Linked DNA regions of Ovis aries. The protein of the gene in region 2 interacts with the protein of the main gene of each other region in a pairwise test. Links are inferred from orthologs where the notes say so. Each region holds a gene or a part of one and is shown on either strand. Other genes may lie near its edges.

The links.
Region 1: the proteins of C1H1orf94 (region 2) and GSE1 interact in binary tests that used the Homo sapiens proteins (3 or more experiments, as listed by UniProt). The link is inferred for Ovis aries from reciprocal best matches to the Homo sapiens genes C1orf94 and GSE1.

Annotation. Positions count from the first base shown.
Region 1 is NC_056067.1:10,798,091-10,802,684, forward strand, and holds the start of GSE1 (genetic suppressor element 1), read left to right. Parts: upstream 1-1,643; 5' UTR 1,644-1,824; coding exon 1,825-3,789; intron 3,790-4,594.
Region 2 is NC_056054.1:9,141,622-9,145,424, reverse strand, and holds part of C1H1orf94 (uncharacterized protein C1orf94 homolog), read right to left. Parts: intron 2,747-3,803; coding exon 2,501-2,746; intron 1,429-2,500; coding exon 1,253-1,428; intron 1-1,252.

The DNA.
Region 1 (4,594 bases), on a different chromosome or scaffold from region 2:
GCAGCCAGAGAGTTGAGAACAGGGCCCTGGAACTGACTGCCTAGGTCTGAATGCCAGCACTGCCATTCACAAAGTGTACCTTAGAGCTCAGTGCCTCTTCTTTCTCATCTGTAAAATGGGCTGATCATGGCACTTAATGCAGAATTATTGGGAGGAGCGACTGAGGGGATGTGTGTAAAGTACTTAGATTCTGCCCCTGGCACGTACTAAGGTCTCTGTTTCTGTGTTTAATAAATACATGTATCTATACATAGGTACAGTAAATACATGGAAACAGTTAACCCCCTGCCAGAGCTTCTGTCTAACAAGAGGAAAAATGGGCCCAGAGTTGTTGAGTCATGTGCCCTGGAACACACAGCCCTTACACACAGGACCCTTTTTGCCCCTGCCAAGCAGTGGGCTGGGGGTGTGGCAGGCTAAGGAGTCTGTCCCCAGGATGGTGCATTCTCTAATATGTCCCAGGAGACAGGGGACAGCTCCTCTTACCTCTGTCACCAGAATTAGAACCCTGGGCCGTGAAAGGTGCCCCCAACCCGGGCCTCCTCAAGGCTGTAAAGGGCCCGTTAGAATGGGGAGGGGGCAGGGGTCCCCCAGCTTACTCGGCAGCTTGCCTACTTAGGGGCTGAGGGAGCAGCCCTCCCTTGTCTCCTGGGATGCCGGTTGCGTCCTTACCTGGCTCCGGCTGCGTCCTGCTTGACCTTTACTTAAAGACCAGCTCTAGCGGCTGATGGGTTTCTGCGGGTCCCCCCGAGGAGACCCTTCAGACGGCCAGAGTCAGGCACGCTGGAGAGAGCCCCTAATTGGGGCAATGAATCATCGAGTGCGGCTCCCGGCTGGACACAAAATAGATAGAGGAGCCAGCGAGCTATTGTGCGCAGTTTGGGACAAGGGGGGTGGGGGTGGGGTGGGGGCGTGGGGGGGGGGAGGCGGAGGAGGGGAGGAGGAGGAGGAGGGGAGGAGGGAGGGCAGAGGGGAGGAGGGAGGGCAGAGGGGAGGGAGCGCGAGGAGGGATTCCCCACCCGCCGCGCTCCCTCCTCTCGCCCGCCCTCCTCCCCTCCTCCTCCCCTCCTCCCCCTCCTCCTCCCCTCCTCCTCCCCCTCCTCCTCCCTTCCTCCTCCCCTCCTCCTCCCCTCCTCCTCCCCTCCTCCTCCCCTCCTCCCTGCGCACCGCCCGCCGCCCCGCCTCCCTCCTCCCCAATTAAATGACCCAACGCTTTGGCAGGCGCCGGAGCTCGCACATGCGGCTGCCGCTCCAGCCGCCCGGAGCCCGCCGCCGCCGCTGCTGCGTTCCGGGCGCGCTCGCCGCGGCGCCGCCGGGGGCTCGGCTGGCCGGGGGGGCGCCTCTGCGAGCGGTGGAGCGCCCGTGCCCGCCGCCAAACTTTGCGGCGCGCACACATGCTCCAAGTTGGGCGCGGCGGCGGGCGGTGAGGGCCGCCCCGGGCGCGCGGGGGCCGGGGCGGGCGGGCGGCGCGGCGCGGCCATGAGCGGGCGGCCGGCGCCGGTCTCCCGCAAGCAGCGGCTTATGGCAGCCGTGGGCGAGCGGACGGCGGGCGGCGGCGGCGCGCCGCTCTCCTGCTTTATCTGTGGCGGCGGCATCGGGCGCGGCAAGGAGCTGAAGCTGCAGGTGAAGCAGCCGGCGGCGGTGGCGGGCGCGGGGGCCCCGGCGCAGCCCTTCTTCCCGTTCCTGCAGCAGCAGGAGCCCGCGCCCGGCGCGCGCGAGCTGTCCCCGGCCGACGGCTGCGTGCTGGTGTGCGCCGTTTGCCGCTGCTTCCTGGGCGAGCAGTGGGCCGCCTTCGAGCGCGCCCGCACGCCCGTGGACAAGCGCATGTACTGGCTCAAGCGTCCCCACCAGTGCGACGCGGGCGCGGGCGGGCGCCGCGGGGGCGCCGCGGCCCCTCGCGAGTGGAACGTCGCCTACGCGCTGGGCGGCGCGGACGACGAAGACGAAGGCGGCGGACCCGGGCCCCGCGCGGCTGCCGAGGAGCCTCGAGACTCGGAGCTGTCGGAGCTGTCTGACACTGACCCCCTATCTGAGCCCGACCCGGCGGCGCGCGACGCCCCCAGTCCCCACCAGGATGGGGCGCCAGCTGCGCGCTCCGCCCCGGGGCCCGGGCCTCGCGGTGGCCGCTGCCTGGAGTGGAGGCCGGCGCTGGGACCTTCTCCAGGACAGGGTGCGGAGACCCCGGTGTCTGGGGATGTGGAAGAGGAGGGAGTCCCCTCAAAGCTCCGCCTGGATGGGGAGCCCAAGGCCGGCATCCGGCGCCGGCGGAAGGGCCCCGGGAGGCACTGGGTCCCAGAAGCCCGGGCCAGCGTCCTGAGGGGAGTTCAGGACCCTTGGCAAGGGCCTTCAGTCCAGGTGGCCCCTGCAGAGGGCACAAAAGGAGCTCCTTTGGGCAGGGTCGCCAAGACTCCTGAGAGCAGGCCACTGGGGGAGAGCCGTGGGGGCTACTGCATGTCTGAGGACAGTGACATCAACATCACCAGCGAGGAGGAGGACCGCAAGGAGCAGCCTCTCCCAGGACCCCGAGGCCCCAAAGACAAGGAAAATGGTAGTGGTTGTGCACCCCGGGTTCCCCCGGAGAGCCGGGCAGCACCACCAGAGGGCCTTTGCTGCTACATCTGTGGGTCAGCGCTGTCCCCAGCCTCGCAGCACCAGATCCACGTGCAGAAGCAGGAGAAGCTGGCCCAGGCCCCCTTCTTCCCCTTCCTATGGCTGCACAGCCCTCCTCCGGGGGCACAGCCCATCAGCGAAGGTGGTAGCACCCTGGTGTGCCCCTGCTGCTTCTCATCCCTCATGCAGCAATGGCAGAGCTTCGAACTGGCCAGTGTGCCTGTCCTGCAGCGGCTCTACGTGGTGCCCCTGAACAGCCACGCCCCAGGCATGGCCTCCAAGGGCAGGCGGCTCCTGAGGGAAGAAGGCCCACCCACCGGGTCCCTGCCGGAGGCCTGCTACCTCTGCGGGGAGGACTGCACCCAGGACGCCCGGGCTGTGGCCTCCAGGAGCCTCAACGGCAATGCCAGGGCCTCCATGCATTTCCCCTTCCTCAGCCTCCTGCCCTGCCCGCCCAATGCCCAGGGCCCCAACAAGCGCTGTGAAGTCCGCAGCTGCCCCAAGTGCTTCAGCGTCCTGGAGGATGTCTGGGCCCTATATCGGGCTTGCCAGAACGAGGAGCTCATCACCTCAGTGCAGGGCTTCCTGGGCAGGTACCACCAGGCCTTCTCTGCCTCGGACCCTACTCTCTCCGAGCCGCCTTTGTTGGCCCAGGGCAGCCCAGCATCGATCTGTTACATCTGTGGGGCTGAGCTGGGCCCCGGGAAGGAGTTCCAGCTCAACGTGAACCCGTCCAGCCGCTTGGGTGAGAAGGAGCCCTTCTTTCCCTTTCTCACCGTCTATCCACCCGCCCCGCGTGCCAGGCCGGCCGACGCCACCGGCCTGGTGGCCACCTGTGTGCTCTGCTACCATGACCTGCTGGGCCAGTGGCTGCAGCACGAGGCCCGCAGTGCCCACCATGCCGTCAGCCCCTGGTCTCGGCAGTACCGCGTGGAGACATTCGTGTGCTTCTTCTGCCAGCAGGAGAAGAAGCGGTGTCTCGGGCTGAAGGCCGTGCGGGTGGCCCGGCTGCCCTTGTTTCTCTACACCCTGCGAGCGAGCCACAGCCTGCTAGTGGATGACGGGCGGCAGCTGGTCATCGGTGCCTGCATAGAATGCGGGACCCTGGTGTGCGCTGGCCAGGGGCTCCCCCGCCAGGCACCCGTGGGCTGGAGCTCCCCAGTGGCAGCTGCGAGGAAGGTAAGCAGCCGTCTTCAGTCATCCTCTGAAACCCCAGCAGGGAAAGAAGAGATGTTTTCTATTCTGCCGGGGAGCAGTTTGCACTGATTCTGTGTGCTGTGTTCCAGCAGGAGGGGCCCTCTCGGGTCACCCTGCTATGCTAGCCGAGCTCAGAGGCCTGGGGCAGGCCAGAGGAGCTGGGGGGCCGAGTGGTCCTGTGGAAGAATAGGGCATTGCTGAAAGCAGCAGGCATGGGCCTGAACTTGAGTGTGTGTGCAGCGGAATCTATCAAACAGAGGAAGTTCGGGGCACGTCTGTCATCCGCCTGATAACATTGGTAATTAGTCCAGCCATGCGGGTCACTGAGAGGTCTCGTACTTACCCGGTTTGAAACACATCAGTAGTTCCTCTCTCTCTCTTGTTCCCACTAGGCTTAGCTTTTCCAGAATTTTCCACCCAAGTTCACACTTTTCCTTAGAGGCTCTCTGGTTGCTTAACAGCCAGTGAAGACAGATTTCCAGACATGGAGGTTTGGGGCCCGGGAGACAGTGGCCTAGACAGGCCTTTCTCCTGGTGGGAAGAGAGTCTTTCTTCTCTGCAAGTCAGCTGTGCCGGGGAGGGCGGGAAGCCTGGCATGCACCCTGTTTATAAGGCTCCTGCCTTCACGCTGCCTGCCCGGGAGGAGCCAGACGGGGTTCAGTTAATTTTGGATCCGGCTTTGCAGAGGCCAAAGCAGGAACTGCCCCTGGTGGGTCTGGGGAAGCAGACATCTGTGAGTTATGATCACCGTCATGGCTACCGGGGCCAGGAATCCTAGTTTCCACTG
Region 2 (3,803 bases):
GAGCCCAGGGGCAGTGGAAGGGGGAGGGGCACAGGGGCAGAACGAGAAGATCTTCAGGTTGTATCTCCTTCTCTCTTTGCCCTCCCTGGGCTCGGCCAGGCTGGGCTGGGGCAGCAGGCTCCCAGGGGCCTGCCCCTTCTGTACACCTGCACGCCATTCTGGCAAGCAGCCAGGGAGGGGAGAGAAGACTGAGAAATCTTAGGCGCTGAGCACCTGTCGTGGAGCAACGGAACACTACCTGGAGGGACTATTTAAGCTCTTGGTTCGGACTATGGTTTAAATCAGAATGGACATTTATTTGATTTTTTTTTCATCTCTCTACCCAGTGGGTGGCAGCTCTTACAGGAGATTAAGTTAAATAGACGAACGAAAGAAACTACATTTTCCCGGAGTAAATAAGTTGTGTGAGTAAAACCGTCAGCCTTGCAAGCGTTTCCCCCACCCCTTTGTGTCTGACGCCTCTTAGCTCTCAGTCCAAGACCAAGACTGTGTACCAAGCCACCTCAGCCGGTAGAAGCTAAGATTGCTAGGTTGTAGTTGAAATAAAACGGCCACATAATTTGTCATCTGGGACGCTTGAGAGTGAAAGGGGGTACAATGAATAATTATGCTGGGACAAAAGACCAAAACGGGGACTGTCCCAAGTAATCCAGGCCACGTGTCATCCGACTACAAAGCAAGCCCCAGGAGGCGGTGGGAAACGAGGACTGTGCCGTCGGTCAGGCTTCCCTGGGAGCCCAAGTACTTCACAGCCCAGGATTAGCCAAGCGGCTCTGAAAGACACAGCACAGAGTGAGCCGGAATCCAGACAAAGGAAAATGAGAAACAGGCACACGTGTGTGTGTGTGTGCGTGTGTGTGCGTGTGTGTGCACGTGTGCGCGTGTGCGTGTGTGCGTGTGTGCGTGTGTGTGTGCATGTGTGTGTGCGCGTGCGTGTGTGTGCGTGTGTATGCGCGTGTGTGTGCATGTGTGTGTGCGCGCTTGTGTGTGTGCGCGTGTGTGTGTGTGCGCGCGCGCGTGTGTGTGCGCGTGTGTGTGCGTGTGTGTGCGCGCGTGTGTGTGTGCGTGTGCGTGTGTGTGTGTGTGTGTGTGAGATGCATGCGCACGCGTATCTGGCAGTCGGTCTGATGGTGTCCCTGTGAAGAAAGTAACTAATGAGCCCACGGCTCTTTGTGAATGAGGCTCCTTGTGAGCCACAGCGCCTCCCTGGACGGCCACCACCGGATAACTGGGCCCGGACCTGCTCACTCACCTGGTACTGGGGGAAGGTGGAGGGGTTTGTGAACACGGGCGGAGGTGCGTAGTTCAGGTTGAGCCAGAGGGGCTGGTTCAGAGTTGCTGAGGTCAAAGCGGTGGCAAAGCGTGGGGTGAACACGTTCCCCGTGTACTTGAGGTTGTTCTTGTCGGCCCCGGTCACAGGTGGGTTAACTGTAAGTCACAGGAGAGGTAGAACGTTTCGTGATTGAGGAAGGGAGAGGCCAGCCTGCCCCAGCTCCATGACTGCCCCCAGAGTTAGTGTTCTCACCAGTCAGGTATTTTAAGGCTCCCAGAGCGTTCTTCAAAGCTCAAGGAAAACACTGTTAGTTCACATCTTGCCAACGTGGAAGGGGTGAGAGGCCCAGCATGGTCTGCCATGGAGCATCTCCTTCACGACTCACAAGTAAGGAGGCAGTTTAGCAAGAGATACAATCAACCAGCTTGTCTCACCTACGTGCAAAACTATATTCCTTCAAGTGCTTCGGAAAAATCCAGTTTGATACAAACAATTGCTACGCTGTGGGAAGCCATTCTTATCAAATTGTTAAAGCACCCCACTGGGGACATGCACTTGGCAACAGCGAGGACCTTATGTAGGTGTTGCATCTATGCCAGAGTCATTTTTTAAAAATATTTAAAAATATTATATAATCCCCTTTGGTAAGATCCCAAATTAGTCTGAATGAATGATATTTGATGGAGTTGTTTCAGGATATGAATCCTGGATTCTTTCCTTCTATAATATGTCCTGTGGGATTAAGAGTTAGAGATGGGGTATCAGTGTCCCCTTTTTAGCACCTTTTGTTGAGGGGAGAATGTTTTACTAAAACAGTTTTAGATGTACAAGGGAGAGAAAGCTGAGACGTGAATAATCGAAATGTAGAAATGATCTTTTTTTTTTTTTTCAAAATGTAGAAATAATCTTAAAGCACGGGATTTTCTTTGGCTCAGGCAACTTGAGGGGACATAAGACATGCTGAGTCAGGGCTATATTCAAATTAACCACCAATAAGGCCCATGTGACCCCTGAAAGTCAGCTAGATTTCTTGAGCTCTTCCCTGTAGGGGTGACACAGGAAGAAAGCCATTTCCCCATTTTACAGGACTAGGGAAAGACAGTGACCTGCCCATGGATGACAGCCGTTTGAGGACAGAGCTACTCCAGGGGCCTATGAGGGTTTCTGAAATCCCTTCCTGCATAGACTCTCTTCCTGCATAGAGAGATCTGGGCAGGGTCAGCTTACGTTTCAGCTCCAGCCTGTCCACCTCCACTTTGCCACGAAGTTTCAGCTGCCCGCTTGGGTTCTTGGTGGCCCCAAGGACCTCATAGAGCAGGTTCTTCTCAGCCTGCCAGGCAGGCTTCTTGGCCGGCAGAGCCATGGGGTCACTGCCACCCTCCTCACCACAGGTGTCCTTCCGGCTCGGGGACCACTGGCTGAGAAAGAGGCTCTCTCGGCCCCTGGTCAGCTCCTTGGCACCTGGGTTCCGTTCTAGAGCAGGAGAGAAGCTGAGTCAGTGACTCTGGAAGACCACATGCTGGATGGGGGGAGCATGGTCTTGTGGACAAAGTCATGGATCCTCCGCAGCACACCTGAGACTCCCACCACTCTGGGCTCTCTCTCAACCAAGTTCAGTCCAAGTCCAGTCCCTGAAGCCTTCCCTGACCAGCGCCCATGACGGTCTCACACCCTTGCATGCATGAATGCATTCATCCATTCTTGTCTTCTTCCGTCTGTCCACCCATCCATCCATCCTTTTACCCACCCATCCATCTTTCCTTCCTTCCATCCACTCATCCATCCTCCCTTCCCTAATCCCATTCTCTCCTCCTTAAAAAACTTCCTCCCTTTTAGTTCCCTCTCTTTCCTTACCTTCTTTTCTTTCTTTTCTTCCTTCCTCTTTTCCTCCCTGCCGCTTCTTCCTTTCTCCCTCTTTTTGCCTCCCTTCCTTCCCTCTAACCATTTGTAGGTTGGATCACAAAGGTTCCGGATAGTTCCTGTCTTCAGGGAGCACACTTGGCTTAGTGGCGGTGGGGGGGGGGGGTGGTTGGCGCAGACACATTCCCACACAACACGCAGCTGGTCCCTTGTCAGAGACTCTCCTCTTGCTAAGTCGTCGTGGCGATTCAGCACACTCATCAGCGCCAGGCTCTGACCTGAGTCCTGGGGACACTTGGATGAGTCAGAGCCAGACTTGGCCCAGCAGGAACTCACAACACGGAGGAAGAGAGAGACAGACCCAGAAATAGCTCCGGGACAAGGCAGATGGGGACCGTGAGGTGATGGAGGGACACAGCGGGGGAAGAGGGCGGCTGAGACAGCTTCTGTCTGAGGACCGGAGGGATTCCAGGAGGAGGAGGTCTGCAGCGAGGCCCTGCACCCAGAGCCATGGGTGACCGCAGGCAAAGGCACAGAGGCACGAGTGAGCCACTGGCTGCTGCCGGTGCCAGGCTCAGCTCTCTCTCTCCAAACAGACCAAGTCTCCCTTGTGCAAGGACACTGCCTAGACCACCAAGGATCCCCCTACAACAGTGGCTTTTCACCCGAT